Linked DNA regions of Danio rerio. The protein of the gene in region 4 purifies or fractionates together with the protein of the main gene of each other region. This does not show direct contact. Links are inferred from orthologs where the notes say so. Each region holds a gene or a part of one and is shown on either strand. Other genes may lie near its edges.

Evidence for each region.
Region 1: the proteins of smad3a (region 4) and lemd3 purify together in Homo sapiens (affinity purification with mass spectrometry; 3 studies listed by BioGRID and IntAct, counting the BioPlex papers as one, with this or other methods). This does not show direct contact. The link is inferred for Danio rerio from reciprocal best matches to the Homo sapiens genes SMAD3 and LEMD3.
Region 2: the proteins of smad3a (region 4) and skila purify together in Homo sapiens (affinity purification with western blotting; 6 studies listed by BioGRID). This does not show direct contact. The link is inferred for Danio rerio from reciprocal best matches to the Homo sapiens genes SMAD3 and SKIL.
Region 3: the proteins of smad3a (region 4) and smurf1 purify together in Homo sapiens (affinity purification with western blotting; 3 studies listed by BioGRID). This does not show direct contact. The link is inferred for Danio rerio from reciprocal best matches to the Homo sapiens genes SMAD3 and SMURF1.
Region 5: the proteins of smad3a (region 4) and kat2b purify together in Homo sapiens (affinity purification with western blotting, with the first as the bait; 3 studies listed by BioGRID). This does not show direct contact. The link is inferred for Danio rerio from reciprocal best matches to the Homo sapiens genes SMAD3 and KAT2B.
Region 6: the proteins of smad3a (region 4) and runx3 purify together in Homo sapiens (affinity purification with western blotting; 3 studies listed by BioGRID). This does not show direct contact. The link is inferred for Danio rerio from reciprocal best matches to the Homo sapiens genes SMAD3 and RUNX3.
Region 7: the proteins of smad3a (region 4) and hif1ab purify together in Homo sapiens (affinity purification with western blotting; 4 studies listed by BioGRID and IntAct, with this or other methods). This does not show direct contact. The link is inferred for Danio rerio from reciprocal best matches to the Homo sapiens genes SMAD3 and HIF1A.

Annotation. Positions count from the first base shown.
Region 1 is NC_133179.1:13,491,947-13,495,872, forward strand, and holds the end of lemd3 (inner nuclear membrane protein Man1), read right to left. Parts: intron 3,440-3,926; coding exon 3,358-3,439; intron 3,198-3,357; coding exon 3,092-3,197; intron 1,354-3,091; coding exon 1,275-1,353; intron 1,196-1,274; coding exon 1,029-1,195; 3' UTR 644-1,028; downstream 1-643.
Region 2 is NC_133177.1:40,282,264-40,286,340, reverse strand, and holds part of skila (ski-like protein), read left to right. Parts: intron 1-1,939; coding exon 1,940-2,161; intron 2,162-4,077. UniProt on the Homo sapiens protein: May have regulatory role in cell division or differentiation in response to extracellular signals.
Region 3 is NC_133178.1:39,719,987-39,724,754, forward strand, and holds the start of smurf1 (E3 ubiquitin-protein ligase SMURF1), read right to left. Parts: upstream 3,022-4,768; 5' UTR 2,804-3,021; coding exon 2,749-2,803; intron 1-2,748. UniProt on the Homo sapiens protein: E3 ubiquitin-protein ligase that acts as a negative regulator of BMP signaling pathway. Mediates ubiquitination and degradation of SMAD1 and SMAD5, 2 receptor-regulated SMADs specific for the BMP pathway.
Region 4 is NC_133182.1:34,223,831-34,228,367, forward strand, and holds the start of smad3a (mothers against decapentaplegic homolog 3a), read right to left. Parts: upstream 3,264-4,537; 5' UTR 3,064-3,263; coding exon 2,861-3,063; intron 1-2,860. UniProt on the Homo sapiens protein: Receptor-regulated SMAD (R-SMAD) that is an intracellular signal transducer and transcriptional modulator activated by TGF-beta (transforming growth factor) and activin type 1 receptor kinases.
Region 5 is NC_133194.1:23,127,380-23,131,456, reverse strand, and holds part of kat2b (histone acetyltransferase KAT2B), read right to left. Parts: intron 3,947-4,077; coding exon 3,801-3,946; intron 214-3,800; coding exon 127-213; intron 1-126. UniProt on the Homo sapiens protein: Functions as a histone acetyltransferase (HAT) to promote transcriptional activation. Has significant histone acetyltransferase activity with core histones (H3 and H4), and also with nucleosome core particles.
Region 6 is NC_133188.1:48,796,019-48,800,726, forward strand, and holds the start of runx3 (runt-related transcription factor 3), read right to left. Parts: upstream 3,095-4,708; 5' UTR 2,965-3,094; coding exon 2,907-2,964; intron 1-2,906. UniProt on the Homo sapiens protein: Forms the heterodimeric complex core-binding factor (CBF) with CBFB.
Region 7 is NC_133195.1:22,873,556-22,877,632, forward strand, and holds part of hif1ab (hypoxia inducible factor 1 subunit alpha b), read right to left. Parts: intron 3,554-4,077; coding exon 3,297-3,553; intron 872-3,296; coding exon 645-871; intron 531-644; coding exon 408-530; intron 65-407; coding exon 1-64.

The DNA.
Region 1 (3,926 bases), on a different chromosome or scaffold from region 4:
AGAAAAAAAAAATAACATCCATCTGCACCACCAATTATAACGGGAAAGCATAACCTTTAAAATATAAACAAAAACAACAGTAAATAATTATATACTTGAATATAATCAGACTGTGACAATTAAGACTAGTGTTCAGAAACATGGCATCGAATGGTCTCTCCACATGACACGCGTCTCTGAATGCAGCAGTGTAGTTATTCTGTTGGCAAGAAACAAACGAGAGCTTATGACGATTTCAATTTCATACAGATGATTTCAACCACCACCACCACCAGCACCACCACCATTCAATGAGATATTTACAGCACTCCTTTTTTTCTTTAGAGTGTGTGTGCATGCCGTTCTTGGACTAAAAACTACAAAAAAAGGCCCAAAAAAAACAAAAACAAATTAATAATAATTAAATGGAATACATCAGCTAAAAAAAAAACATCCTCAGGGAAATAAACATCCACAATATATGATACAATTCAAAGCTTAAATATAGGCATACTTTAACCAGCACATGCAGCTATGTATAGCCCAACAGAGCTCCTTGGAATTAAGGAGGGGAGTTAGTTACTTGTAACAAAACAAAATGAGAAGCAGAAGAGGCCGGAAAACTTTCATTTGTGTTTGTTGTAAGATTTAAAGTCGGAAGCCATTTTGTTATTGAATCCATAAAGACGGTATATTTCAAATAAAAACAAAAGCAAATACATCAAAGAACCAGAAATGTGTGTCCACTTGCACCAGACATGAGAAGGATTGTGTCCTAAAAGTTCTCATCCGGAGCAAACAATGCTCTCTTTTCCACTGATTTACGCCACAGTTTCTCCCTTGACTCCAACGGACAGAGGGAAAAAAAATAGAAACAAAAACACAGCAGCTCACAGGTTTAAACACCATTGCTTGCATATGGCTGACAAAACTGATTGGGCGTCCTTAGTCGCCCGACTGCTCCTGAACGTGTTTCCCTCTGGCTGGGAGCTTTTCGTTTATGGTGAAAGAGAGCAGAGAGGATGGTTGGTGGCCGTCCTGCATGTCCTTCAGGAGAACGTGTCCTTCAAGCTGGACGTGCTGGAGCGCTGGTTCAGACGAGACATGCTGTTCATGCTGGAGCTGGAGGGTTTGAGAGGTGTGTTGGAGCCTAGGGCTTGTGGGAAACGCTGGTGGTAGCGATCCAGGCGCAGGTACTTGACCGTCACCAGCTTACCTGTTGGAAACATGTGACATGTTGTTGAAGCGTACTGAAAATTGATAATTAGACTAGAGGAAATATGATAGTCGTTTACCATCGAACCAGGAGCCGTGGAGCGCTTTGAAGGCTTTCCCAGAATGCTCTGCTGAAAGGCACTTCACGTAAACGCAGCCCTAGACGGGAATAAGATCATATAAGCAATTCATTAGCTAAAAGCCTCTAGGGACGTTACTTTGCTGCAAAAAACACAATGAAACTCATTTAGTGAAGGGAGAGTCGTGTCTTTTGGGAACAAGGCAACCATCGAATACCCGGCTCAAATAGAGATGAAAGCTTAAATGTACTTAAACGTGGATTATTTCACCTAATATTTAGTCTTTTATATTTAGGATTTGTTAGTTTAAGATCAAACTTTATTGCAGATAGTAATTGGTAGTTAATTTGGATTTTTATTTATTTTGTTCATTTCAGGTTATGTCATTTTGATATGCGATTTAATAATATCCATTAACATTTTTAATTAACTTTATACAATTTTTTCTTCAGTTTTAGGGTACATTTACCAGGGTTTCTGCAGGTTTTATACAGTCAAATCTTTAAGACTTTTAAGACCGTTAAAACGAAACATTAGACTTATACAGGTTTTTTTTTTGTTTATTACCAGTACTATCATAACAAATCATAATTATTTTTGGTTTTCTTATTTTTTTAAATAAGGAATTTGCAGTAAAAAAAATTAACAGCTGTTGTGAATAGTATCTTCTTGCAAAAAAAAAAAAAAAAAAAAAAAAAAAAAATATATATATATATATATATATATATATATATATATATATATATATATATATATATATATATATATATATATATATATATATATAAAATCTTTAAAAAAACCCAATAAATAATCTGATGAAAAAAACCCTATTCAAGTCTAGAATTTCATTTTTATTTTAAAGGGTCTTAAAAAGTCTATATATTAAAAGTCTTTATATATATATATATATATATATATATATATATATATATATATATATATATATATATATATATATATATATATATATATAAATAAAAGGTTTTATTTAAATGGTTTGTTGGTGATTAGAGGCATGTCAGCCCAATTGAGTAGCTTTACTTGGACAAAGCAAAATTAAGACCTGTTTAAAATTATTTAACACAACCTACAACACAATATTTCTGCAAATTTAAGACATTTTAAGGGCTAAAATTTACTTTTTGTAATTTAAATAATTTTAAGACTTTAAGACCCTTTAAAAAACCATAAAAAAATGAAATTTTAGACTTGTACAGGGTTTTTAATCAGTTTATTACCATTATTATGATGGTGAATCAATATTTTAAGACATTTCAAGACTTTTAAAGACACCCTGATTCACACAACCAAATGGTTCTGTGTTTGGAAAGTTTTGCACCCAAAAAAAAAACAAAAAAAACTTAAATGCTGTATGCCAGGCCATTAGTTAGTGATGTCACCTACTAAGAAATACTACTTATGCACATATGGTCGTATAGTGTGGTTTTGGTTTTCAAGTACAGTTTAAACACATATTATACAAAAAAAAAATAATAATATAAAACTTTTTAATAATTTATATTGACATAATAATGGTATTATTTTCAAATACTTGATAAATTCATAAAAAGTTTTGTATCACATCAAGTATTTCATTTTTTTCCCCCAAGCGCTAAGTTTCCGACAAAAAAAATATTTACAGATATCCTAACTTAATTTGAAAGTTTTAGTTAATAATGGTTTCACACAGCTTAATGAAAATGAATTTTACGCAATATTCTGTTTAAGCTCGCTTTGTAGGGCGTCTCTAGCTCTTGGACAAGAACTTTTAGATCCATTGTGTAAATTATGAACAACCCACACAAGCCACTCACCTCTCTTGAGTTTTTGTCAACAGCTATGTGAACGATTCCATCATTATCACTGCACTTCTCCAAAATGGCTTCTTGAATGGCGAGATGCCAGTTTTCCCCCACTTCCCTGTAGAAGAGGGAAATTATGGTAAGTACAGTGAGAGAACTACTCTCTAAACTACTCAAATATCAGGCAAAGTTTATGATTACATGAAAGTAAATAGATTTTACATGCCTGAACAACTATTTAAATTGCGTTCATGTGTTAAAGTCCTTGAAAAACTTACATTACAGGATCAAACATGTTGCGAATCTTCAAGCATGGCGTTAAGCTGTTTGGTGGCGAATTTCTTCGGTCCAGCGGAAATGCTGAAGAGCAAAACAAGCCACTTTAAATCAACAAACACAAACGATAATCACCAAAACAACGAGGATGCTCAAAATAAAGGTTGTTTACATGTGTAATTTTCTTGGTTTGTTTTGTTCAACAACAGAAACATAAAAAGATAATTTTTAGTCCTGATTTTCACTGCATTCATTAGCTTTAAAAGACAAAGGAAAACTTACAGGACATCCAAAACAATACTGCATGCTAGGATGTTGCATGTGTGATCACATTTTTAGACTCCTTAATAGCGTATAAAATGTGTAATAGTCAATATATTGCCAGGAATTGGCATTTCCCAAACAAAAGATCTGCTGAAAGAAGACATGTTTTGGAGAGCTGCACTGAACTGCAATGGGCAACATCATAATTATGACAAGAAACACACCTATGGCTTGAGCATTCTGCATTTAACGGTCATATCTTGTGTCACCATGTCCTGTTTTTGGTTTGTTTTGATGTCAACGGTCC
Region 2 (4,077 bases), on a different chromosome or scaffold from region 4:
TGGGAGTATCGTAACTAAAAACAATAAATGAAATAATAAAATAGCTTTAACTTTTATTTAGTGTTTACAATGTAAATCTATTTAGATCTACTTATTTGGTAAACAAAGTAAGTCTCTCTTATAATATATGAACTAAAAGACAGAAAATCTTACTTTACAAACTGTATTGTAAATAAATTAAACTAACACTTTCATATTAGTCAATAATATTACTGAAAGTAATTTAAAAACTGAATATAAAATTACAAACATTTACTACGGATGCTCTGATTGATTGGCCGAAGATTGGAATCGGCCGATAATCACATTTCATGTCTTAATCGGTACTCGATCTGGCCAATCTCATGAACTGGTTGCAAGTGTTTGTTTACGTGTTTACAACCCAGGTTATAGATCCACAGTGGTACAACACATGCTCAGTGTTTCCAAATTGCAATGTCAGTAATTTTTCTTACCATTTTTTTCTATCTGTTTTATCTGTTATTTTTTGTTAAGCTGCTTCTAACCATTACATGTACGCAACATTCCTAATTTATTCTCTTAGGTAAGGTGAGTTCTTATACATAGAGGGAGAATGTGCTTATGCAATGGCAAAGTTATATAAAGCTTGAAGCATCAAAATCGGTGCTTGGTATTGGCTGATTAAAATGACGAGGGATTGCTACTCGAAATCAGCTGCAAAATTCCTGATCAGAGCATCCCTAACATTAACACAAGTAAATGAATAGACTCAACGATGGGCTATAATCTCCAGATTTCTGCACGCACAAATTTTGTGTGGGCCCTACAAATAAGCTGTTTAAAAGGCTAATTGTGATTTTATGATATATATATATATATATATATATATATATATATATATATATATATATATATATATATATATATATATATATATTATGTTATGTAGTAAAAATATAATATACAGGGAAACATACACACTAAAGTGACTACAGGAACAGAGTGGTAAACAATAATGCAAATAGTAATGTAGAAATAATTGTTATTTGTCATTAGTTCATTTTCCTTCGGCTTAGTCCCTTTATTCATCAGGGGTCACCACAGCGGAATGAACCGCTGATTTATCCAGCATATGTTTTCATGCAGCAAATGACCTTCCAGCTGCAACCCAGTACTGGGAAACACCCACACACTCACAATTACACATGTACACTACGGCCAGATTAGCTTATTCAATTCACCTATAGTGCATGTCTTTGGACTGTGGGGGAAACCATGTTATTTGTCAAGCCCAAGTATTTATGTTTTTTTTTTTTTGTTTTGTTGATAGTACACATCTTAATCTGCTCACAATGTTTGCTGATGAATGCTTAAAAAGGTTCAATGAAACTGATGTTAATTCAATGTGTCAATTGTAATACATTTCATTCATATCTATGTAAGTGGTTTATAAATTGCTTTGACACGTTTGAGTTTGAAAAAGAAAATACCCTTAAGCATCTCTGCTGCTTATAATTTGACATGTGAAATTACATATGGTAAAAATCTTGAGCTTCATAAGCACAAATAATGAAAAACAATCAATTTTCATCTGTACCCTTTTTTAATGCATGTATGCAACAATTCTTGCTGCCATTTTGGATGAAAATGCTCATTAAGCTTGCCATATTGCTTCTGGGATTGTCTCATCCTTAAAATGATACATGCGATTCTGCCCTAGATTTTATCTTGGAAGAGGCGGTGTGATTTTTGCGTCAGATGCATGCATATAATCTCTAAAAACAACTCGTCTAATAGGCAGTTTGATGAGGTTGGAACAGAGCCATAGTTGTCTTTTTATATATTATCATGAAAGCTCTTTTTTTTTTGGTCATGTGAAAAGTGAAAGGACTTGTTACAGCGTGAGCCCGGACTTGTCCACTGCAGACCCGTAAGCTCTGGCACAGATAGTTTGACGCATGTCATGTTGTGTGTGCAGGAGCTGGAGGCAGTGCGCGGGGGCGAGGCGGCCCGGCTCAGGGAGTTGTCTGCGGAGCAGCTGGAGCTGCAGAACGAGCTGGAGGCGGTGCACACTGAGCATGCTCAGAGACTGGGGGAGGTGCGGCAGGAGCAGAGGCAGCTGGAGCACCGGCTCGAGCAGCTCAAACAGCAGAGTTGCGCCTGTCAGCCTAAAGAGCAGGAGGCACAGTACAATGCACAGGTAAATGCATATCTGAGCATGCCCGAAATCACGATGTGATGCAACAACCACAACAACACAAACTATACCCAGTGTGAATTATCCCTGCACCCAGTGGAATATGCTGCTTGTATCAGCACGGCTCATCTGTGTGGGAGTGATTCAGTTATTTGTAGAGAGATACGCATGCACATTGAAACGGAGAGCCAGGATGACTTGCACAGTGGGCCTGATTCCTGCGTTTCAGTCATCAACTAGGTCAAGTGGCTTACAAATGTTTTAAAACAAATAAACAGTATAAAGGGCAGTTCACACCTTGCTGACAGACAGCACCAGACACTTTGTCGAAGCACTGTGTCAGAGGGTTGCCCATTGCATGTAGTGAATCTGCACTTATCAGATTGTAGGGGAAGTGATGTGTTATAATCTGATAATCGTCCACGTTTGTTATTGTCAATTGTCAATTGGCATTCATTATATCAGATCATAATACCTAATAGTACCAATTTATCCGTGCTGATATTAGCACACAGAGCAAATTGAAATCAAAATAAAATCTAAATAAGATTTGCATGTTTTCCTATTAAGGTTATTTCTTACAGAATTGTGTTAGAGGCCTTTATTAAGCACTTGTATTGTAATTAATGCATTGCAAACACATCATTAATGCTATATTGGATGCAAGTGATCTCTGAGCTGTGCATTTAATGTTACAAAATATTTTCATTTTAATATTTAGACATCATCAATTCCGTGTTACTATTGATGATAACATTTATGGAAATGGTCAATTTCAACTTCAGCTAGAAATTATTTTGATAGTTTAAATGAAGTACTTAAAGATTAGAAATGTTGCCTTTGGAACTAGCTGAATTTTATTTTAAATAATAAAAATGTTATATAGTAATATTGATAAAAATAGGCATCAACGATTAAAAATCCCCAATTTAAATAGAAATGTTAGGAATAAAGCTAGACAACACTTAACTTGAAGTTCACAAAATGTGCGTCGGATTTAAATGATTGAACTTCTCCGTTACTTAGAAAGTTAATTCTGTCCTTCTGAGCAAACTTGATGCTCAAAGGCAGCTGACTCATTTCTTGCTTTCCATGTTTTTCTTGCTTTAGATACTTGTAACTATTAAATAGACACCAGTACTTTGCTATTAAATGCTAATACCTTTCGATGCTGGAATTTAGATGCTAATACTCATTACATACTAGTCCCTATTATTAGAAACTAGTAGTTATTGTTTATTATACATGATCTTCTGAATTATTATGGTACTCCTCTTTTCTGATTAGCATTATTGGACACAGTGGAGTTCAGTAAAAAAAATTGACTAGTAAATTGAATTATCTTGCTAATAACATTTTAAGTAAGAACTAATATCTATTTTATAGACACAAGTACCTAATCAGTGAGTGCTAGCATTCATTAAATAAGAACTAGTGTTTGTTTTAATGCAACAGTATCTTATAGGTAAATACTAGTATGTAAGGATTAAGTACTAGTATCTAGTATTCTTGCTTGTTTTCTTTAGCCCCTGAGCTCATTAGTTGGGTGTATTTTTCACTCCATAATTCTGTGAACAGCCAGAAAACAAATGCTTCATATGATCAGGCTAATTTTGTATGAACAAATACCTTCATAAAAACCTGCAAAATAGTAAGTTTGGAGTATGTAAGTGCTGCTGAAGTGGAGATTTGTCTGTACTCTGGGCTGATTTTGAGTATTAATTTGCCCGCAGTTTTCTCCGTGTTTCAGCAAATGGAATGATTTTTGGTGACCAATCTTATTTTGACGCAAATGTTCAAATACTCAACAATACACTCTGCAAATTTAATATCCTTCCATTGTGTTAGTGACCTTTTTGCCCCATTTACTTTCTTTTTTTTATTTCAAAGCCTCTGCATCATATTAGTATGCATTCTTG
Region 3 (4,768 bases), on a different chromosome or scaffold from region 4:
GCTCCGAGATCAATATAGAGTAAAAAAAACTTCCAAGCTTATATTTGTTATTGACATCAATTTTATTGCGATTTGATATAATACCATTTATCGGCCATATCGTTATATGACGATATAAATCATCTTTATGGCATGAAATGTGTATATTAATTTTATTTTATTCTGTGTATACCACCAAATGTAAATAAGTGGGAGTGGCGAACTCACAAGCATTATGCATAAGGCCAAGAAAGACACTACATGGGAGACTGGCAGTGTTGCCAATCGCTTAATTTTTTCAACGAGAACTGATCACTTAGTTTCAGTATTTATCCATGAATTGTAATTGAGGAGTTCAAATGCAAGAACCTAGAAAATGCCATCTGAAATTTTCTTTCAAACTGAGAATTTTTTTCAGGCTCCTGTGTGTAAGTTTAGTAATAAACACATTTATAGCAAATAAGTCATTTTTATGGTCTTTAAAGTAAAATAATTCAACATAAACAAAGGAGGTTGAAAAATAAAAGTTTATTTTTGATGGACATTTCAGACAGCGCATAGAGGTTTTAGCATCTGAACTCTTGAATTGTTTTTATTTTGCATTTTTAAAGGAATAAAAAAAAAACAGTTTGATATTTCCTTAACCTTTTAACCGCCCACCAAGAAAAATATTTTTGGATTGCATTTCTTAACTCGTAATGTCGCTAGTTAAAACACTAAATCAATTTTTTCCCCCATAAACTTACCATAATCCCATAATTTCTACAATATTAACATGTACAAAAATGGTAGAAATGTTAATTTATAGTAAAACTACAGAAATTAATTCATATGCTATGAAAAATATGAAAGTATAAAGTCTAAGACTATTTTATATTTTAAAATATAAAAAAATAAACATTTTTGAATACCACATGAATTTTTTTGATGTATGCCGAAGTGGTGCGACAGGATTTTCTTTTTTTCTTTGTAAACCAACAATGCTGTATTGTGTTAACCATTCTTTAAAACTCTCTTTAAAATGACTTTAACGGTGATTATTTAAAACAGTAAAAAGATGGTCAACCGTGTGGTAGAGCAGGCAGTTATAGGGATAAAGTTTTTTTTTTTTCCATAGGATAGTTTTGTATCAGAAGATGATGTGTGAAATGTTTATAATAATAAGGTCTGTCCACATAAAACTGTGAAAATGTGAGAGTGTAATTCGTTCATTAAAAGTTATATTTGGTTTACAATATTTATAGTAAAGTTAAAATAAAATACAAAAATAATCTAACAAGATTGAGTCATCTTCTTTCCTTAAATATTTAAGCTTAGTTATTTCACAAAGCTTATTTATTGCACACCTTTTAGTAAATTCTCTGGAATAACTACCCTCATAATAAAACTATATCATGAAAGATATCATCTAATGTGAAATAAACTTTCTTCATTTATAATTTATATCTGATGTGGTTATATTTGACTAAAACACCACAAGCATTTGCATTTTAAAAACACTTTCTTATCATGATAATCACATTTTTGCTTGTTTCCTTTTGTTGTGTGTTTGTGTTAATGGTAATGTGCCAAAACGTTTAGTTTTTCATACCATTATGAAGACAAATATGAAAATAAATGACTGAACCGCAGCAGAGCATTAACGTTCATTTCAGCATTTACCAAACTACTGCAAAAGTTGTATATTTTAAAGCTGTCTCTGAGCTAACATTGACAATGAACTGTTGTACTCTGTAAACAAAAGATAAAAACGGTTCAATTCAAGTTTACTTCGTTAATAATTATAATAATAAAGCAGCTTCACAAAGGGTACACATCATTACTACATCCAAAATCAACAAACCACTGTAACAAACACACTGCTCAATATAAATGAAGGGCATTAACATTTACAAATGAAACTTCACTTTTAAAATCTAATATACAAGAATAAAGAATAAAACGTTTAATCTGGTCTCTACTGAGTCTATAATAAAATGCAAACCACATAACCTTGTCATTTGGCGTTTACCAGTCTTCCTATTCCACAAACGCTTTAAAGGGCACTGATAAGTCAACATCAGATCTGGTTTAAAAAAATAAAAAGGCAACTGTAAAAGCACTCCTCCAGGGCACTGTCACTATGTCTGTGATGATATCAATGAGATCAGTATGCATCTATCATATCCTGTTCGTTTCCAAGCAAAGAGCGGTTTCAAAAGAGTAAGGAAAAAAATCCTCCCCCAAAAAACCCATCTGTGGATTGTGAAACAGTACACTATCACATAAAGATCAACCCCATAGTTAGCTTACTTCCGAAAGCAAGCACAGCGCAATAAGCAAAACATTAATGAACAGTCTGTCACGTATTAAAATCTTAATTTACAACGAAGACACTGGCGTCCAGATGAGGGGAAACCGAGAAAACAGCTGCCTCTGCCTCATCCGGTTTATACTCAGCTGATTTATGACTAATCCAACCTAACAAACTGTGCACGGGGAGCTGCTTTCGGCTGATAACGTTCACACAAGTGCAAATAAAGCAGGTCCACTGACTATTGTGCTGTTTATTAAATAAAAAAGGGATGCTTCTCGTGTTAGCATGCGTTTAGCATGAAGAGACAGGGCTGCAGCAACTCGCCTCAGCAGAAGCTAGCAGGATCCTCGCTTAGCGTTTTACACACATTTGCGACCGACACACAGTTATAAGCTAACCAAACGTATAAAATGATAACTAACAACAAATTAGTACATTAAAGCGATAAATTAGCGTATTAGAGGGTGTTTTACCTGTCAGTCGGATTTTGATGCTTGACCCGTTCCTTCGAGTCCCAGGATTCGACATCACTCCCACAAAAAAACCAACGAACTTTCTCTCAGGATAAACCCAAGACGCTCGCTTCACGAGGATATAAAAACGTATAAAAACACGCGACGCGATCGTGTGGCCTGTGCATGTGTTTCTCGGCGATAAAACGGTATTATTTCCGTCTGGCAAATCCCCTGTAGCTTTCAGACTTAACAACACAGGCTAACATTTTTTGAGCTCAACGGCGTTCTGACATCACGTTAGTACAGCTGTACGTGCACGTACCCGCGGCTGGGCGTGCGCGCGCTCTTCTTCCTGGCGCTGGAAGTCCGTTTGTGTTGTGTGATGTAAAAAAGGATATTAGTCATGTGTGTCCTGATTTCGAATTATGCTATGAAATTTCGTGCTTTGCGTGTTTTTCCAGCCACGTCAGCTGAAGTGAATTGATGTATTTTTTAAGTAGACCAAATGTTATTAAGATTAGATAGATCTAAACAACAATAAAAAGGATTTATTAATAAAATAAATACAGGATAGATAGATAGATAGATAGATAGATAGATAGATAGATAGATAGATAGATAGATAGATAGATAGATAGATAGATAGATAGATAGATAGATAGATAGATAGATAGATAGATAGATATGGATGGATGGATAGATAGATAGATAGATAGATAGATAGATAGATAGATAGATAGATAGATAGATAGATAGATAGATAGATAGATAGATAGATAGATAGATAGATAGATAGATAGATAGATAGATAGATAGATAGATAGATAGATGCATGGATGGATGAATAGATGCATGGATGGATGGATAGATGCATAGATGGATGGATGGATGGATGGATGGATGGATGGATGGATGGATGGATGAAAGGATGGATGAAAGGATGGATGGATGGATAAATGTAGAGATAGATAGATAGATAGATAGATAGATAGATAGATAGATAGATAGATAGATAGATAGATAGATAGATAGATAGATAGATAGATAGATAGATAGATAGATAGATAGATAGATAGATGACTGCATGGATCTGGGGCAGATTGATGAATTTGTTTGTCATTTTCGCAGCATCCATAACATTTTAAGTGACCTGATTAGCATTAGAGGTTGTTGTTTTGAGTTTGAGTAATAAATAATGAGATGATGGATGCAGATGATTTCCATTACATTTGCATGATTGTGATTGCATTAATTGCGGCTTGATAATTGTCGCGTTGTAGAAGCAAATAAGGTTAGCCTGAGCAATAGTGGAAGGGATTGGATTGGAGGACTTTAGCAACTGGAAACAATAGAGCCATTTAATAGTGTTGTGCAGAAGAAAAGCCAATCCACGTAAACAGCAGGCTAATGAGGGTGGCAGGCCACACACTGGCCTTTTTCAATCCGTCACCACTTTAATGAGCAGAGAGCCATTGTACTCTTGGCATAATAATGAAATGTATTTGATCTGAAGACTCATTAAAATGGAAACAAATACATATTAATGCAATTAATTAAATCAGTTCATTGTGTGGGATGCAACGTGGCTTAATGAGGTACATCTGAAGATGAAACATTGACATAAATGTAAACATTAGAATGTATTGACTGATCAGTTTAATTATGTAAGGTTTTGACACTTTATTCCTCACATAGATATTGATATGATATTGAATAATAGCTCAGTATGAAATGGTCATTTGACTCTAAGGAAATTACAATAGCTATACTATAATAAATATATTGGTCACTCTTTTATAATATGCACTTAATTCACAATAAATATGTAATGAATATTCAGAAAAATAGCTTCAGGTATTAACTGTGGATGCATTTGTGTGATTTAGTTGCACTAGAAAGTGATTATAGCACTGGCAGTAGTAATTAAATGCCAGAAATGAACTGTGAATCAAATCAGTCATTTAAAACGTCCATCAACAGTCAAAGCAAATGAAAATGTGTATGCTGGAAGCCACTCCAAATGTGAAAAAAAGGCAAT
Region 4 (4,537 bases):
TTGCACTACATTGACAATGATTGGAAGCTACACCAGAGATGCCTTGTTAACGGCATGTTTTCCATTATATCAAAATTAATATTCAAATTAAAACATTTGTTTACAGAAGATGCAGGAATTGCACTGTCTAAAATATCATTTAGAGCATGTACAAGAATTTTATTTAGAATAGATACTACTTTTAGAATAAAAAACATAGAAAATAATAGATTTTGTTTCCAAAAGTGCAAGTTATTTATTTTCACTTTTATATAAGAAAAAAGTGACTGTTGGTTTTATGCAGTGTGTGTTTTAATTTCAGTTGTTCAGTGTTGATGTTCAATAAATAATCATAGACAGTAGATCATGTGTGTTTCCTTCAATTATTTCAGAATCAAGTAATGCACCCTTCATTCAAAAATCTTTCACCTGTAATATGTGAGCATATTTACTGTACAAAACTTGTCAGTTAACTATGAGGGCAAAAAATAAATAAATAAATAAATAAATAAAATAAGTATCCATTAATCATAAAGTGCAATTAATCGAGATTTTAATTAAAGGCCAAATCTTGTATAATTTCAACATACTGTAGAACTTGGTCCCATTTTATATTGCTACAACTACCTGTAATTATACTTGTGATGATTGAGAAGCCTTACCCTAAACAGTATTTTAGTGTATTCAAAATACTTTAACACTCTAGAAAATAACACTGATTTTCTGTACAATTAAAATCCACATTTATTAAATGAAATTGAGATTTAATTCCAGATTAAATTCCATCATAAAGATAAAAAACTGTTACATACTGTGACTGCCATCACAAGAACATTTCCAGTCAAGAGGATGCTTCAATTTTAAAAAACAGACACTGGTCTGGGGAGTTTGGTAACCTGATTTAATTACCAATATGGCATGAATTCCTTTACTTTTTACACTCAGTACATATGAATTACACTCATCATACACATCCATCTGGTTTAACTTTCACATAAGGCCTTTATCTTAGCTGTTTTTGTCACTTTTAATCCCTTTTAACTTAGATGACCCGTAGTCTAAGAAAAATTATTCTTAGATACTTGTACAGTTCAAAAGAATAGCAATTATATGTAAGAGAAATCCTTTTTAACATTTCTATTTAGCTTTTGATTCATTCAAAAGCATTCTTGCAGAATAAAAGTATTCACATTTATAAAATTGAATATTATTGTGTTTAAATAATATAATATAAAGACAACAGATGAGATGGATGTTACAATCCCAATGACATGATTGTTTATTTTATACAGCATTTACTATTCTTGTCACCGTCAGAGCTGAGCAATTAATCGAAAAGTAATCGAAATCGACATTCAGAATCTATAATCGAAATTTTTCCAGGTCAATTTTTTCAATTACTTTCCCTATTGTGTGTGGAGTCACACGCGCGAGTTAAGGCTGATGTAAACCTGTGCATCCAACTCACACGCAGCATTGCGCGATAGCATACCCCACACCTGTGCAGTGTGTGTTTTAGTTTCAGTTGTTCAACGTTGATGTTCAATAAATAATCATAGACAGTAGATCATGTGTGTTTCCTTCAGTTATTTTAAAATTAAGTAATGCACCCTTCATTACAGCCTTCATTCACCCTTTATTACAGGTAAGAAATCTCTTACCTGTAATATGTGAGCATATTTACTGTACAAAACCCGTCAGTGAACTATGAGGGCAAAAATAAATAAATTAATAAATTAATTAATTAATAATCGTTCATTAATTGTAATCGAGTTGAAATGATAAATTAACCGAGATTTTGATTTTAGGCCAAATCACAGCCCTACTTTCAGGAGATTTGGCACCAAACAAAAGATGAGGAACAACATAGTTGTATCATTAAAGTTAACAAATAATCCCCTAAGATCTGTTGGTTTAATTGGCTATATATTAATTTGTGATGAAATCCAAGTGAACTTCTAGCTGATTATCTACTGAATCTGTGTATATATATATATATATATATATATATATATATATATATATATATATATATATATATATATATATATTTTTTTTTTTTTTTTTTTTTTTTTCAGAATGCATATGAAAAACCAAATGAACTTCTATAATAACTGGCTATGTGTAATATATACAACTCAAACAAGTAAACCAATGTTTTTCTATATTGGCTGAAGCTTGAAATGCCTCTTGAAACTAAAGGTCTGCTGAGTGTAAAGGCTTGTGGGCAACCCTCGAGTGGACCATACGGGCAAGACCTGTGGGCAGTTGGCCAGCATCGCACTGTGACATAACAGGATTAACCAGCCATTGCAAAACTCAGAGGGATAATAATAACAACAATACAATTCATACAACAACCCCGTCCACATGTACACTCTAATGAAGAAAAATAATAAGTACCAAATGTCTTATATATGCACCAACCAACCAAAATATAACTTAAAACACAAACATCGCAACACATCGTTTAGCCCAGATACAGCAGCTACAGCGCTCCTCAGATTAAGGTCGGGCTGTTATATAACCTCATCAGACAGTAAATGACAACCTCAGGCAAGGCAAATGTGTGTTTGTGAAAGCACATGAGAGAATAAAGTTGAAATAAATCAACTGGAGTGTCGGAATTTGATCAGAGAGCGAGATACGAGCTGCAGCACATAACGTTACAGTAATGAGACGCGGTTTATGAATTAACGTGATATGAGAAACACAAGAGTTGATTTCACAATAAAAGAGCCTCTGCTGGGCTTTTTCTTCAACTTCGCCGTGCTGGTGTTTAGCTTCAGTTTGAGACTGTCCGGACGGGTTCTGCTAAAATCAATCGTCACAACCCGATGCTTCTCTAAGTAAAGTCGAGGATGTTTTTAATGGCACTCACCGCGGTATTGTGATGCACTTGGTGTTGACATCCTGAGTTGTGATGGCTTTCTCTAGCTCGTCCAGCTGTCCCGTCTTCTTCAGCTTCTTCACTAGACTCTTAACGGCCTTTTCGCACCATTTCTCCTCCTGTCCGTTCTGCTCTCCCTTCTTCCAGCCCAGCAACCTCTTGACGATCGGCGGAGTGAAAGGTAAAATTGACATGTTGAATTCAGTTCAGCGTTCCTCTATTGCGCAGTCTCTCACGCAACTCGGAGGGAAATTAGGGATACTTTTTATCTTCAGCGTAATCCGAAGGTTTTGTGTCAAAGTAAACTGATTAGAGCATGGGAATAATATGAAGAAAAGTGAGAGGGACTTGAGACGTGACTGAGACACGGTCTCAAGTTCAGCGCTCAGCACAGCTCTCTCTGTCTGTCTGTCCCTTGAGATCGTCAGGCATAGCTCGCGCCACACACCGCTGCCAGGCCGTTCAGATCACTCCGCGTAAAAAATAGTTCCTCTGCATCCGGTCAGCACAACACTTTCTGCTGGTAATTAAAACAGATTCATTTAATTTAAAAAATATAATACCTCATCTGTGACTAATATGCAGTCAGTTCCTGAGCATTAATATTTTAGAAAGTGAGGTTTACTTAAATCTAAAGTCTTCCGCTGTTCTGCGTGCTGCGGCTCTCTGACGTAACGTTACTGAAGCTGACTGCACTCAGTGCTCTGATCATTTAAAAGTTTCAGTTTCAAAGTGCTTTAGAAATATGTGCAGAATATGTTTAGCAAATGTGTACAGCCACACCAAATGACGACTTTATATACTGATATCTTGATAAAGCATATTTTATGGTGGCCCCTTCATGAGGGTAGCATTTGACATCAACAAAATAGTTCTGTACATACACAATAAGATGAACAATATGCTATAGATTTAGGAACCATGTCATCTATTTAAGACAGGATTGAGTTGAACCTTCTGAAGTTTTATTGTCCCCTTCCTCCTGTGCTATTGTAAACACTCATAAAACCCGCCCAATAACCACAGTGACACACAGGAAACGGGTTATACAAAACCTTGCTTATCATTTACAGACTCAGTAAAAGTAATTACACTTTAATTCTCAAAAGAGTAAAGATGTTCACTTTTCTTCCTTCTACCTTTTCCACCCCCACTTTTTCTTTCAGCATAGCACTGTCTGTGTGAGAAGGGGATCCCACCAAACGCAGCATACAGTGTTTAATTAATCTGATACTGGGCATGGCCTGCTTTTTTTAGTGAGGGAGTGGGGATGAAAGATACAACGCTGAGTATGCAGCAGCCTTGCCTGTGCATGACAACAACAATTAATCATGTACGTCCCTAATGTTGTAGTAAATGCTCAAAATCCCAAAATGCAAGTCTCAAAAAACAACACTTTTTGAGGATGGGTAGATTGTATTTAGCTAATACATATGAGGTGGATTACATTATACTAAGTTTACTCTTTTACTTTTAAATTTTTAGTTATTCTAATGTGATGGCTTTGTTTCCCCCCTTTAATTGTTTATCTTGAATGTTTGTGTTTGACTTATATTGTGATCACAGACTGCTATCTTTAACACACACACACACACATACACACACAAACGCACACATGGACATATGCCGAAGGGAGTTTGGGTCAGAAATGTCAAGAGAAGTGTGTGC
Region 5 (4,077 bases), on a different chromosome or scaffold from region 4:
GAAGAGGTTGACTTGTTAGTTAAGTATGTCACCAAACACATGCAGCTTATTAAATGTAAAGATTAAGACAATGATTCATTCGTAATGATGAAAAAATATTCTTGCTATTTACAGTTGAGAAGTTACCTGCTCGATGCTTGGTTTTTCAAAAGGCGGGCTTTCCAGAGCCTCCACCACTGGCCTTCCCATCTGCAGGATGCATTTCCTTAGCAGCTGTAACAGTTTAAACAAATAAGCTGGACAAACAGTTGCAAACCGAATATATACAGTTGTAATAATATACACAGAACATATACGGAATGTAAAATTACATTAATATACACTCAACGGCCACTTTATTAGGTACACCTGTCTAACTGCTCGTTAACGCAAATTTCTAATCAGCCAATCACATGGCAGCAACTCAGTGCATTTAGGCATGTAGACATGGTCAAGACGATTTGATCTACTGCCGTTCAAACTGAGCATCAGAATGGGGAAAAAAGATGAATAAAGTGACTTTAAACGAGGCATGGTTTTTAGTGCCAGACGAGCTGATCAGAGTATTTCAGAATCTGCTGATCTACTGGGATCTTCATGCACAACCATCTCTAGGTTTTAAAAAGAATGGTCTGAAAAAGAGAAAGTTTCCAGTGAGCGGCAGTTCTGTGGGCACAAATGCCTTGTCAGAGGAGAATGGCCAGACTGGTTCAAGCTGATAAAAAGGCTACAGTAACTCAAATAGGCACCCGTAACAACTGATGTATGCAGAAGAGCATCTTTGAATGCACAACAAGTCCAACCTTGAGGCGAATGGGCTACAGCAGCAGAAGACCACAGTGAGTGCCACTCCTGTCAGCTAAAAATAGGAAACTGAGGTTACAATTCACACAGGCTCACCAAAATTAGACAATAGAAGATTAAAAAAGCGTAGCCTGGTCTGATGAGTCTCAATTTCTGCTGCAACATTTGGATGGTAGGATCAGAATTTGGCATCAACAACATGAAGGCATCGAGCCATCCTGCCTGGTATCAATGGTTCAGGCTGGTGGTGCTGTTGTAATGGTGTAGAGGATTTAATCTCGGCACACTTTAGGCTCATTAGTACCAATTGAGCATTGTGTCAACGCCACAGCATACCTGAATATTATACTTAAGTACAAATCATTCCAGACTGGTTTCTTGAACATGAAAATGAGTTAACTGCACTCAAATGACCTCCAAAGTCACCAGAACTCAATCCAATAGAGTACTTTTGGGATGTGGTGAAACGGGAGATTTGCATCATAGATGTGCAGCCGACAAATCTGCAGCAACTGCGTGATGCTATCATGTCAATATGGACCAAAATCTCTGAGGAATGTTTCCAGTAACTTGTTGAATCTGCGCCACGAAGGATTAAGTCAGTTCTGAAGGAAAAGGAGGCTCCAACCCGGTAATAGTAAGGTGTACCTAATAAAGTGGTGAGTGTATAATGCTGTTCAAAACTAAAGGTCAGTGATTAGCATTTAAAGTATTTTAAAAATGAAATGAAATTTTAATTGCTTATCCTTAAGTTATCCTCAGAATATATGACTTCCTTTTCTCAGATGAACGCAACCTGATTAACACCATGCTGAATTATGGTGTTGCGTTTTTTAAAGCTTCCAAAAGTACATTGGTTCTTTTGTACAAGTTGTTGAAAATGCGCATTCAGCAGCTGCCGGAAGTCAGGCATTTGAGTTTATAATTTTAAAATTATAAATATTTTTTTGTTACAAAAACATACTTTTTTTTTACTTTTACTTCATACAACATGCGTTAACCTCGTGACAGCATATGGGTTCATTTTATGACAGATTTACAAGCTTAAAAAATGACCACTACCCAACACCATTATACCTGGAAGAGTCAGGATAAAATGTTAAACTACTCTGGCTGTGTTTGTCTGAAAGAAGAAAGGCATGTACACTAAGGATGGCTTGAGAGTGAGTAAATTATGAGGTATTTTTGCATTTTTAATGAACAAATAAAAACGGATTAAAATTATTAAAAGTGACTAAAGACATTAAAAAAATATGTTTTAAATAAATACTGGTCCATTGAGCGATTTATTTACCTTTATGTGTTTTGGTTTCCACAAAAAATATTAAGTAGAAAGCAACATTGATAATAGCAAGAAATTTTCTTGAGCACCAAATCAGCATATTACAATGACTTCTGAACAATCATGTGACAAATGAAAATTTACAATCATATGAAAAAGAATAGAATTTAAATTATATTAAAATAGAAACCAATTCTTTTAAAATGTAATTATGCCACAATAATACTATAGTATGATTTACTATATTTGTTTATAAAACACTCTGTGAGCAAAAGAGACCAGAAATCTTTGGTAATTATATTCATAGTAATATATAATCAGAACAGATTCTGTAATCATTTAAGCACCAGGGTTCCCAAATATCCTTGTTTTCCAGTCATGGAAATAATCTGGAAAATTATCGAAATGACCAAGTGTCCTGGAAAAAGTCCTTCTTGATCTAGATTTTGTTATTGTTGTTGATGTATTTTTCAGTTTGAATCTACTTACTGTTGATAAGCCAAATATGATGACAGCTGAGCAAGGTTGTGGCTTCTACGGCAGAATGGTAATTACAGTTAACGTCAGAATTATTAGTCCCCTTTGAATTTTTTTTTCTTTTTTAAATATTTCCTAAATGATGTTTAACAGAATGAGGACATTTTCACAGTATGTCTGATAATATTTTATTTTCTGGAGAAAGTCTTATTTGTTTTATTTCGGCAAGAGTAAAAGCAGTTTTGAATTTTTTAAAAAACATTTTAGGGACAAAATTATTAGCCCCTTTGAGCTATTTTTTTTTCGATAGTCTACAGAACAAACCATTGTTATACAATAACTTGCCTAGTTACCCTAACTTGCCTAGTTAACCTAATTGACCTAGTTAAGTCTTTAAATGTCACATTAAGCTGTATAGAAGTGTCTTGAAAAATATCTAGTCAAATATTATTTACTGTCATCATGGCTAAGATAAAATAAAACAGTTATTAGAAATGAGTTACAAAAACTATTATGTTTAGAAATGTGTTGAAAACATCTTCTCTCTGTTAAACAGAAATTGGGAAAAAATTAAATGGGGGGCGAATAATTCAGGGGGGCTAATAAATCTGACTTTAACTGTATATTTCAGTTTTCACCCTCTGAGGTTTCTCAAGTGCTTTTGTAGCCATTTTTTTTTTTGAAAGTGCATTTCATTTAGTTAAATTTTAGTGTTTTATTTTGGAAGAACGAAAATTGATCATACACATTTTTTTGACCACTTTATATATTTTTTGTTTTATAACGATTTTAATATAACAAATTTTAAATTTTAAATAAATTGCTCCGGGTGCTCCGGTTTCACCCACAAGTCCAAAAACTTTTGGTATAGGTGAATTAAGTGAGGTAAATTGTCCCTAGTGTATGTGGATGAATGAGTGTGTATGAATGGATGTTTCCCAGTGATGGGTTGCAGCTGGAAGGGCATCCGCTGCGTTAAAACATATGCTGAATAAGTCAAAAAATCATGTGTCTGACCCACTTCCATTCTTCTGGCCTACTACCGTTCCATTTTCCATACCTTTATGGCATTCACATTCAAATTAAAAAACAACATTTAAACAAAAAAGCAAAAGTTAAATTAATTGCAATTTCAAAAAATGCCTACAACAAGTCCATTTGAGATCAACTCCTGTCATAGTTTATGTTCTGGAAATTATTTCTTCTAAAGAGTGGGAAACCTGAGTGGGACCAATGTGTAACAACCCAAATGACTCACTTTGAAGAGAGAGAAGTAAACTTGTTTAGTGTCAGGATCCTCCTCTTTATGGACACACGTGTACAAGTACTCCACATCCAGTACAATCCCAAGCAGTCTGTTCATCTCCTCTTCTGACACATTCTCCAGGTGCGTCACATGGTCACCTAGGCAGTAATACAAACACATGAAATTGAGACTTTATTTGAACCCTAGGGATTGATGACATTGGTCTAAAAGTTTTTTACTTAAGGTTTACTGAAATGCATTATCCCTAAACCTTAGTTTCTCTATGGTT
Region 6 (4,708 bases), on a different chromosome or scaffold from region 4:
TGCTAGGATTGCTGGAGACAGAGAAACATTTCTCATCTCAATGAGTGAAAGTTACAGCGGTGTTGCCATGGAGTGTTTTCTTCCGTGCCTGCTGGCTGCCTCATTTCTATTGGGCACACGCGGACATTCGTCCCAGCGCGCTTCATTCATAACACTTCAACATAAGTTTTTTTAAAGTCGCTGCCTAGCGGGACATAATACGTAGATAACTGTATATAAATCAGTGCTTAATTTGAGCCGGATCTTGCCGGATCCTGTTTCGGAAAATGTCAGATATTCGTGTTTTGCTTTCTGGTATTCATTTTAATGAGGTCGGCATTAACTTGTTGTGAATACCTCTATGTGTGTGTGAGAAAGAGAGAGAGAGTGTGTGTGTGTGTGTGTGTGTGTGTGTGTGTGTGTGTGTGTGTGTGTGTGTGTGTGTGTGTGAATGAATGAGAGCAAGCAAAAGTCACTTTAACTATTGGCTATGAACAATATTTTTATCCAGTCATCTTTTCTTACATTTCCAATCACTCTCTTTGGTTGAACAATAAACAATATTGTCCTAAACAATATCTGTTTTTTTAAAATAGCAAATTTTTGCAAATATTTTCATTTTTTAAAACTACAAGTAAATCTGATAACGAGGCTGATCAAAAAAGCATATATTACATGTGCATTACATATATTTCTATTAGTGGTGCTGCGCTAACGTGAGACTCTTGTGCGATAAAAAAATATCGCCGTTAATATATTCTGGGTCTATTCTACGCAAGCTATGATGACTTTCACCTTGATATTTTAGTGCGGATGTATACCTGACCGGTGAGCCGTCTGACAAAAAAGTGCCCTTCTGAATCAAATCAGCAGGATGCCCCTCTGGATCTTTCACTTACTTCTGCAGTTTCACATTCATTCATGAACCTTTCATTCATGCTCCCATGACAAACTAGAGTATTAGATGCAAATAAGGAGTAAGGATGGTGAGAGTGTTATAGAATTTAATAACGCACGCAGAATGGAAAGAAAAAAAAACTTCTGCATTTCGCAATGTGTGTGTGTGTGTGTGTGTGTGTGTGCACGGTCCTTTACTGACAGCCGCGTGTGTGGAATTTGTTGTAAAATATGGCGAAAAGTCCTACATGACGGTAATAGTTTGATTGTGGTGTTTACTTCAATAACGCCACTAATATCTGCATACTCCACATGTCTTAATTCCATTTCTGTTGAGTTCAGTTATGACTTTAGTCAGATTAAGGTCATCAAAAACCGCTGTTTGGAGCTTACGTAGGACTACAGTTCAAAATTCATGTTTAACTGAATAAACAGTCAGTAAACACAAGCACATCTTATTGAACATCATTTATTTTCATCATTAATTATCATAGAACAGTTTCTCAAGCAGTTTGTGATGCATTTAGGAAACAGGAGATGAGCCCCTGGTTTTAATGCACCACCTGGCTTGAGAAACCCGTTCTTAAAGACTTACTTTTAGTCATTATTTGGGTAGCACACTTATCCTGAATGCCTTCGGCAGGATTTAAGTGAGCCATTTTAATCTAGATTAATTTCAAGATTACAGTGAGACTAATCTAGATTAAAAAAAATGTATCCATGCCCACCTATAATTTCTATATAATGTAAAAGTAGTCAAAACAAATGACAAAACTGTTGCTTTTTCCTGTAACAGCACGGTGATTTACAGTAAATCTAATTATTATTGTTATTTTCATTATTATTATTATTATTATTTTGACAATTATTATTATTATTTTTCCTATTTATTACCGATTGATTCATTTTCTTATTAATTCTTAATTTGTTTATTTTTTTCATCTTATTTTCTGTTAAAAAAATAAAAATAAAGAGATTTGAGAAGATTGGAATATTTTTAAACAAGTTTTTCTTGTGGAAAACCTGATGCGGCCCAGCCTAACCCGGACTCTGCCTCCAGCGGCCCACATGTAAATTGAGTTTGAGACCCCTGTTCTATATTTTCCCCCACTGCAACTGGGAATGGGACTGTATATGGACGTCTTGTAGTTCTATAGATTTGTGACATCATCAGACATTTGCATTTGGAGTGACCACAGAGATGCATTATGCACAATTAGACAAGGTCCATGTATTAAAGAGTAAACATCACTTTAACCTAACACTCACTTTAGTCTTCATCATCCCACCCTAAACGAGCTCTGCGTGAGGATCATGAATCTGCTTTGTTTTTCCAAACAAAGCCGGAGTCAATCCAAAGAAAAAGGAAGCACCTCATCACATGTTGACGTTACCATAGTGACAAATGGCCTCTTCTGAGGAGCTCAGGAGATGCAGATGCCAGTAAATCACTAATGTTGACTTGGGCTCGTACCCACACATATACACAGCGACCACAGAAAGGCCGAGAGTGCCCTGGCTCCAGAAGTTGACTGGTTTGCGAGTTCCAGTAAAGGTTGGTCTAGCTGGTTCCTCCCTTGCGCCCTGCGCTGAGAGTGCGTTTATAGTGCTAATGCTTGCGGTGAGCAGGCCATTATGATCCAAACCCTGCTCCAAACAGACAGCCGCATTACAAAACAAACATCTAACAGAAGACAAATGCGCAGGTAACTCCAACTTCCACAGATCTGTGCAGCGAGATCCCTGCCTTTTTATTTGTACCTTCTCATGGTTTCTTCGAAGGCCATTCAGACACATTATCATACCCATCTCAAGCAGTTTGCAGAAACAAAGCAAGCATTAACTGATCTAAAGTCAAACGTCAAACCCACATGCATGTCACACTTTCACAGCTGCTAAACTGCCACAAACAAACATGCAAACTACAGCAGACAGATAGCTCTTAAGAGTGCTACGGCTACCAAAACCAGCTTTCTAGACACCACAGCGGTGAAGAAAAAAGGAAGGGAATGGCACGGCGGGTGACTTACCTCGCAGCAAACTGGGCGAGTAGCTAGAGAATGTGTCGAAGATGCTGTTTGAAGCCATGTGTCCCGCTCTGAAGGGAAAAGAGCTGGCCTCTCCGCCGTCGTACCGTCTTCAGCCTGAGAGAATGACAGTCGGAGAAAGAGAAATACAGAAACTACATAGACAGCCTGCAACCAAGAATTTGGGGTTTGAGAGTGCCACAGGAATCTTTCGCCACAAGCCGACTAACAGAACAGCATATGTGCCGTGTGGTGAGAGCGAGCGAGAGTGAGAGAGAAAGAGAGAAAGACTGAAAGACAAAGTGAGGACAGCACTAACTCTCATAGAAATGGACTCACCTTTGTTGATGGACACTTCTGTGCGTCTCTCTCTCTCCAGAAGTGGTTGCTGTAGAGTCTACGTGCCTTCAGTCAGAGAGTTGAAATGTCAGGTGTCTGACGCTCTTACAGTGGTGATCACCGTGGTAAAGGCCTGTCAGTCGCATGTCTGAGGTATCCGAGGTCACAGCTCCCGCGGTATCACTGCTGCTCGCCAATCCCATGATCTGATAGGTGGAACTCCAGTCACATGACGTTCTCTCTCTCCCTCGCTTGCATGCATTCAAGTTCTCCTTTTCTTCCCAGTGCCTTTCTCACTCATCTGATTGGCCCATGGCTGGTGTTTGAAGAGTTTCCCAGAAGATGATGGGACCTTCTTGAAGAGGGGACCACAAAAACATACAGCTCATACACAAACTCTTGAGTAAAAAAAAAAGTACAAAATGAAGGATAGCTGAGGATTATTAGGGAAAAAGAGAGTGTTGAAGTGTGTGAGGGTGTGTTCGAGTGTGTTTTGGTGGTTTTGGGGCCTGTTAAACCACCCTTCCACCCTCACTCACCACTTGATATTATCTCGATGTTAGCCTCATTAAAAACAGCCACTCCAGTCATTTCATGCGCCCTCTTTTTACCCTCATTTGTACCTAATACTCTCTGCTTTTGGAGTTTGACATGGTTGCGGCCGGCCTATTTCAATTTCCGAAATATTGAGGTGTACACCGTGCATGTATGGCCTGATTTCAGTGGCCTGGTTAAAAACAAATGTGTGCTAATCTAAACTATCTATATGTGTATTTAGGTGTGCATATATGTGTAGTGTCCCCAGACCTCATCTCACAATTTGAAGCAGTTTTGATTCATAATCATGAATGACAGATGAGACAGACTAACAGATAAGACGACTAAGGAGAGTTCTGGGTGGTTTCTATAGTTTTAGCGGTAACACTTTACAATAAGGTTCATTAGTTGATGCATTTACTATCATGAACTAATCATGAACAACACTTGTACAACATTTATTAACCATAATTGAACATTTACTAATGCATTATTATCATTCAAGTCCATGCTTGTTAACATTAGTTAATGCACTATGAGTTAACATGAACTAACAATGAACAATTTTCATTAACTAGCCTTAACTAACATGAACAAATACAGTACTAAATGTATTGTTCATTGTTTATTCATCTTAATAAATGCATTAATTAACATTAACTAATGAACCTTATTGTAAAGTGTGATCGTTTTAGCTAGCTTGTTTATTTGCTGGTTTAAGAAGAATATGATAAACAGAATGTTATATGGATGGATGGAATGATGGATGGATGGATGGATGGATGGAACGATAGATAGAATGATAGAATGATAGAACAATGGATGGATGGATAGAATGATAGATGGAACAACAGAACAATGGATGGATGGAACAATAGATGGAACAATAGAATGATAAAACAATGGATGGATAGATGGATGGATGGGTG
Region 7 (4,077 bases), on a different chromosome or scaffold from region 4:
GCTGGAAGTCGTCATCCATTGGGATGTAAGGAGCCAGCATCTCTAGGTCGAGATCCTCCATGGGCTAGAGGTCACAGAAATGTGCAAGAGAGATTACAAACCATCTAATGACTGCAAAGTTGTGTATTTTATTTTATTGTTTTATTATAATATTGTTTTTTTTATAATTTATTTTTCTTTCGTTTTCTTTGTAATAATATAAAATAAAAAACTTAGTCTTTTTTATTTGCATATGTACTTATCAAATCTGTAATTGTGTTTTATGTACATGTGTATATATATTCATATTTGCAATATATAAGCAATACTTGACAAGTCATGCCAATAAAGCTCATTTGAATTAGAATTTGATTTTGGGAGAGAGTGAGACAAACAATATGTAGTTAAAATCTTAAATAAAAAGTTACCTGGGTGGAAAAAGGTGTCTTTGCTTCGGTATCAATAGCAAACAGTTTCTCAACCAGGTCGAGTTTAAATTCAGAACTGATGTCTGGTTCCACTGGGAAACCGTAATCCATGGGGCTGTTGGGCTAAGATTGACAAAAAAAAACAACCTAAAGTCAGTGACAGTATCTCATTAACCATTACAAGGGAGCAATTGTTGTTAAATGACCAAGAATAGCAAGCGTTTAATAAGTGTTTACCCCCGAAGAGCCGAGTCCAGATGTGGAGGGTGTGTTTGTGGGGTCTGGCACACGATCAGAGGCAGAGCTGAAAGGGAAGTCCTCTCCTCCAGTCTCTAGTTTGGTCAGAGCTGGGATGGAGTCGCTGGGTGTGAGAGGAGATAGGCTGAGTGGCAGCTTCTCACTGCTGGAAGGCAGCATGACATCATTGTAGAGGGGCACCTCCTTCAGCAGCTGTATGTCAGAATCTGGAGGGAAATGGATACCGGTAATTATTATTGGTAGACCACCAAGGAACTGTGTGTATTTAATATTAGATTTACTTCAGTAAAATTATGAAAGCACATTTCCTGTAATCTCAGATGATTAGTGAATGACAAGAGTTGTTAGTCTTCATAAGATAAAAAGCTGCCAGGGGATTGCATTTAATCCTCTAAAGCAGTGTTTCTCAACTATGTGCCTGGAGGACCACCAACACTGCATGTTTTGGTTATCTACATTGTCTGTCACACCCATTATAGGCCTTTCAGTCTCAGGGAAAATGTGCAGAGCTGGTGGTCTACCAGGAATGTGGTTGAGAAACACTGCTCTAAAGATACACACTCTTGAAATGTTTATGGTCAGTAATACAGAGTTCACACCAATTGCAAGTTGAAGTATTCACATGAGTAGATTACATCCAAATTCAATGCAAAATTCTGTTAAACATAAAAGATGACTTTAGCAGAGTATAGGAAGTTGGTAGCCATTAGCTATGTAACAAACCTAGATTATCGCATAAAATGTGTGTATAAAGCAGCGTTTCCATCAAAGCGAACAAAATAGTCATTTCCTGATTAACTGGCACCAAATATCAACCAAAAAAAAAAACGAACTTGCTGGAGTAGAAGAAGCTGTGTCAATCTTCTCTTCATCTAATAAATGATTTGCACCTTAGAAGGCAATCCTGACACGCAATGAATGCGCAGTGGCGTTTGAAGGTGTGAGACACGAAGCACAGACGCTCTTGATTCTGGAGGTCATTAATAATATAATAACACTAATACTTAAACGGTAAGGCAATTTAGAATGACCAAAACAACATTTCAGCTGTTTTATATTGTGCTCAGCCAGCTGGTTTGTCCATTTACAAACATTTTCATCACATGATCTCTTATAACAGAATCACATGACCATTTTTAATGCTCATAATGAAATTTGTGCGGTAAAAGTGTTTTCATCGTAGTTTACACTTCTTTTCTTATCGAATAACAAGTTTATCCTACTCAGTTAAGCGCATAAGTTCATGCGCATTTTCAAAATGTATGCGCATCGTGGCGTTTCCATCAATCGTTTTTTTTTTTTTTTTTTTTAAATAGGTGGATCGAAGCATAGCTACTGACTTACATTGTAGGAAAATAAATACCGTTTAAGTCAAATGATACTAGTTTCCATCATTCAATAAAGAAACAAACATTTTTTTCTTCCATTCAGCATGCGGTATGAACTTCCATTACAACAACTCTTCCAGCAGTTCATAGTTGCATCCAACATCTCGTTTGTCATCGGGGGCATGCACGAATGAAAGTGAAAGTGCCAAACCGCAGTTAAAGTTGACAAATTAACAATAAAACACCCGAAATTACATGAAACTTCGGAGGAAATGCGGATAATGCGGTGACGCAATGACGGTAATCTAAGTATGTGCTATAACATGTAAAATGTGATCATGAAAGAAACTTTCAAAAAGCAACTCATGTAAACGCCTTTATCTTATTATTGTAGATTAAGGCAAATAATTCGATTACTGATGTCCATGTAAACATAGTCAGTGAAGTCTCTTACGTTGCAACAGAAATTTATTCTCTAAATAGACGTGCATTTGAACTTTCTACTCATTAAAACATTACAATTTTCAACAATGACTACAATAAATATTTCTTGAGCGAAAATCTGCATCTTAGAAATGACTTCCAAAGAATCCTGTTAAACTCTAAAAGCATACATCCCTGTTCATACATCCCCCAAATTACACTTTAAAGGTTTGTTTATGTTTAATGCCATGCCAGGTTCTTTGGTTATTTTCATGGCGAGAAAATATCAACTGACTGCAGTAAAGCTTAAGTATTTTTTCATTTATTGCTAAAATCTCTTAAACCATATTCGGTTTAACAGTGATAAAAATGTATTCAAAAGTAGCATAGTGGAACTAAATAAAAAAATGTCTCAAAGAATTAAAGCCAACACAAACTGTGTTGAGAGAGAACATGCTTCACAGATAAAGTGCTTTTGCAAAGACAACAGATTGGAGGATCTACTCCTACAGGTGAAAAACATACTGGGAGTATCTATAATTGTACTAAAAAACTGCGTGTCATCTTTGATTGACCCATTCTACAGTGGGTATAAACAACTTGATTCCACCAGTTAGAAATTTTAAGGTTTCTTTATCAATATTGGGGCTAATTTCACAGAGTTCACTTTAACTGTAAAAAATTAAAACTATAGACTAGAAGTGTTAATAAACATTGCAGGAATGTCCCTTAAGACTAATCTAGATGTGAATATATAAAAAGATATGTGCATCTTTGCTCATGGATCTTTTAATAAGCTCTCATTGAAACTGAATGAATTTAGGTGGCTTCCAGTTACTCTCAAATTACTGAAAAAATGTACCCATCCAGCAAGAATTACCTGAGTTGTTGAAGTCCAGAGAGATAATGGCGTCGCCTGCTGCAGGTGCCAACACAGTGAGGGCCTCTGGCTCCTCTTTCAGCTTATTATAAAGTGTAGAGCTTTCCAATGAGCAATTGAGGCTTTCTGGCTTGAAGAGCTTGAGAATATCCAATTCAGAGGTCTTTTCCTCAGTCTCCTCACTTTCTTTCTCAACAGCCTTGGGCTCAGTCACGGTCTGCTGCAAGGACAGGACTACATCCCCCTCTACAATGCCACTGGATAAGACAGAGTAGTAAAGTTGAAAATATGAGTTAATTAGCATTTATGCATACATTTTACATAGAAACGCACAATATATCATTTCAGAATCAATATCACAAGTGAATCCACAATAGTTCTATTGCAGGACCTGCAATGTCAAATTAGGATTATAGTTGACCAGGAACCACAGGAGTTTTCAAATACATGATTTGTAAAGTCATTGCTAATTTGAACTTTAAAGGTACAAAAAGTTTAACATTTGTATGTTTTTAAGGCCTGTGACAAATGTATTTCTATATTTTACATGATTTGATTATTATATTTTCGTCAGAATTCTGTTTGACTCATAGAAATAACATAATGTTGTGCCCCACTGTATTTATCAATGCTTGTGGCTGATTTATTGAATATTTTGTACAAATGCACTCCTCTAAAAATGATTGTTTCCAAATACAGTCATTCATTTCATCTGTTGAAGTATACAACAAATCGTGATATGTATAGCAGAAAAATAAAATTTAGCACTGTGAATGTTCTT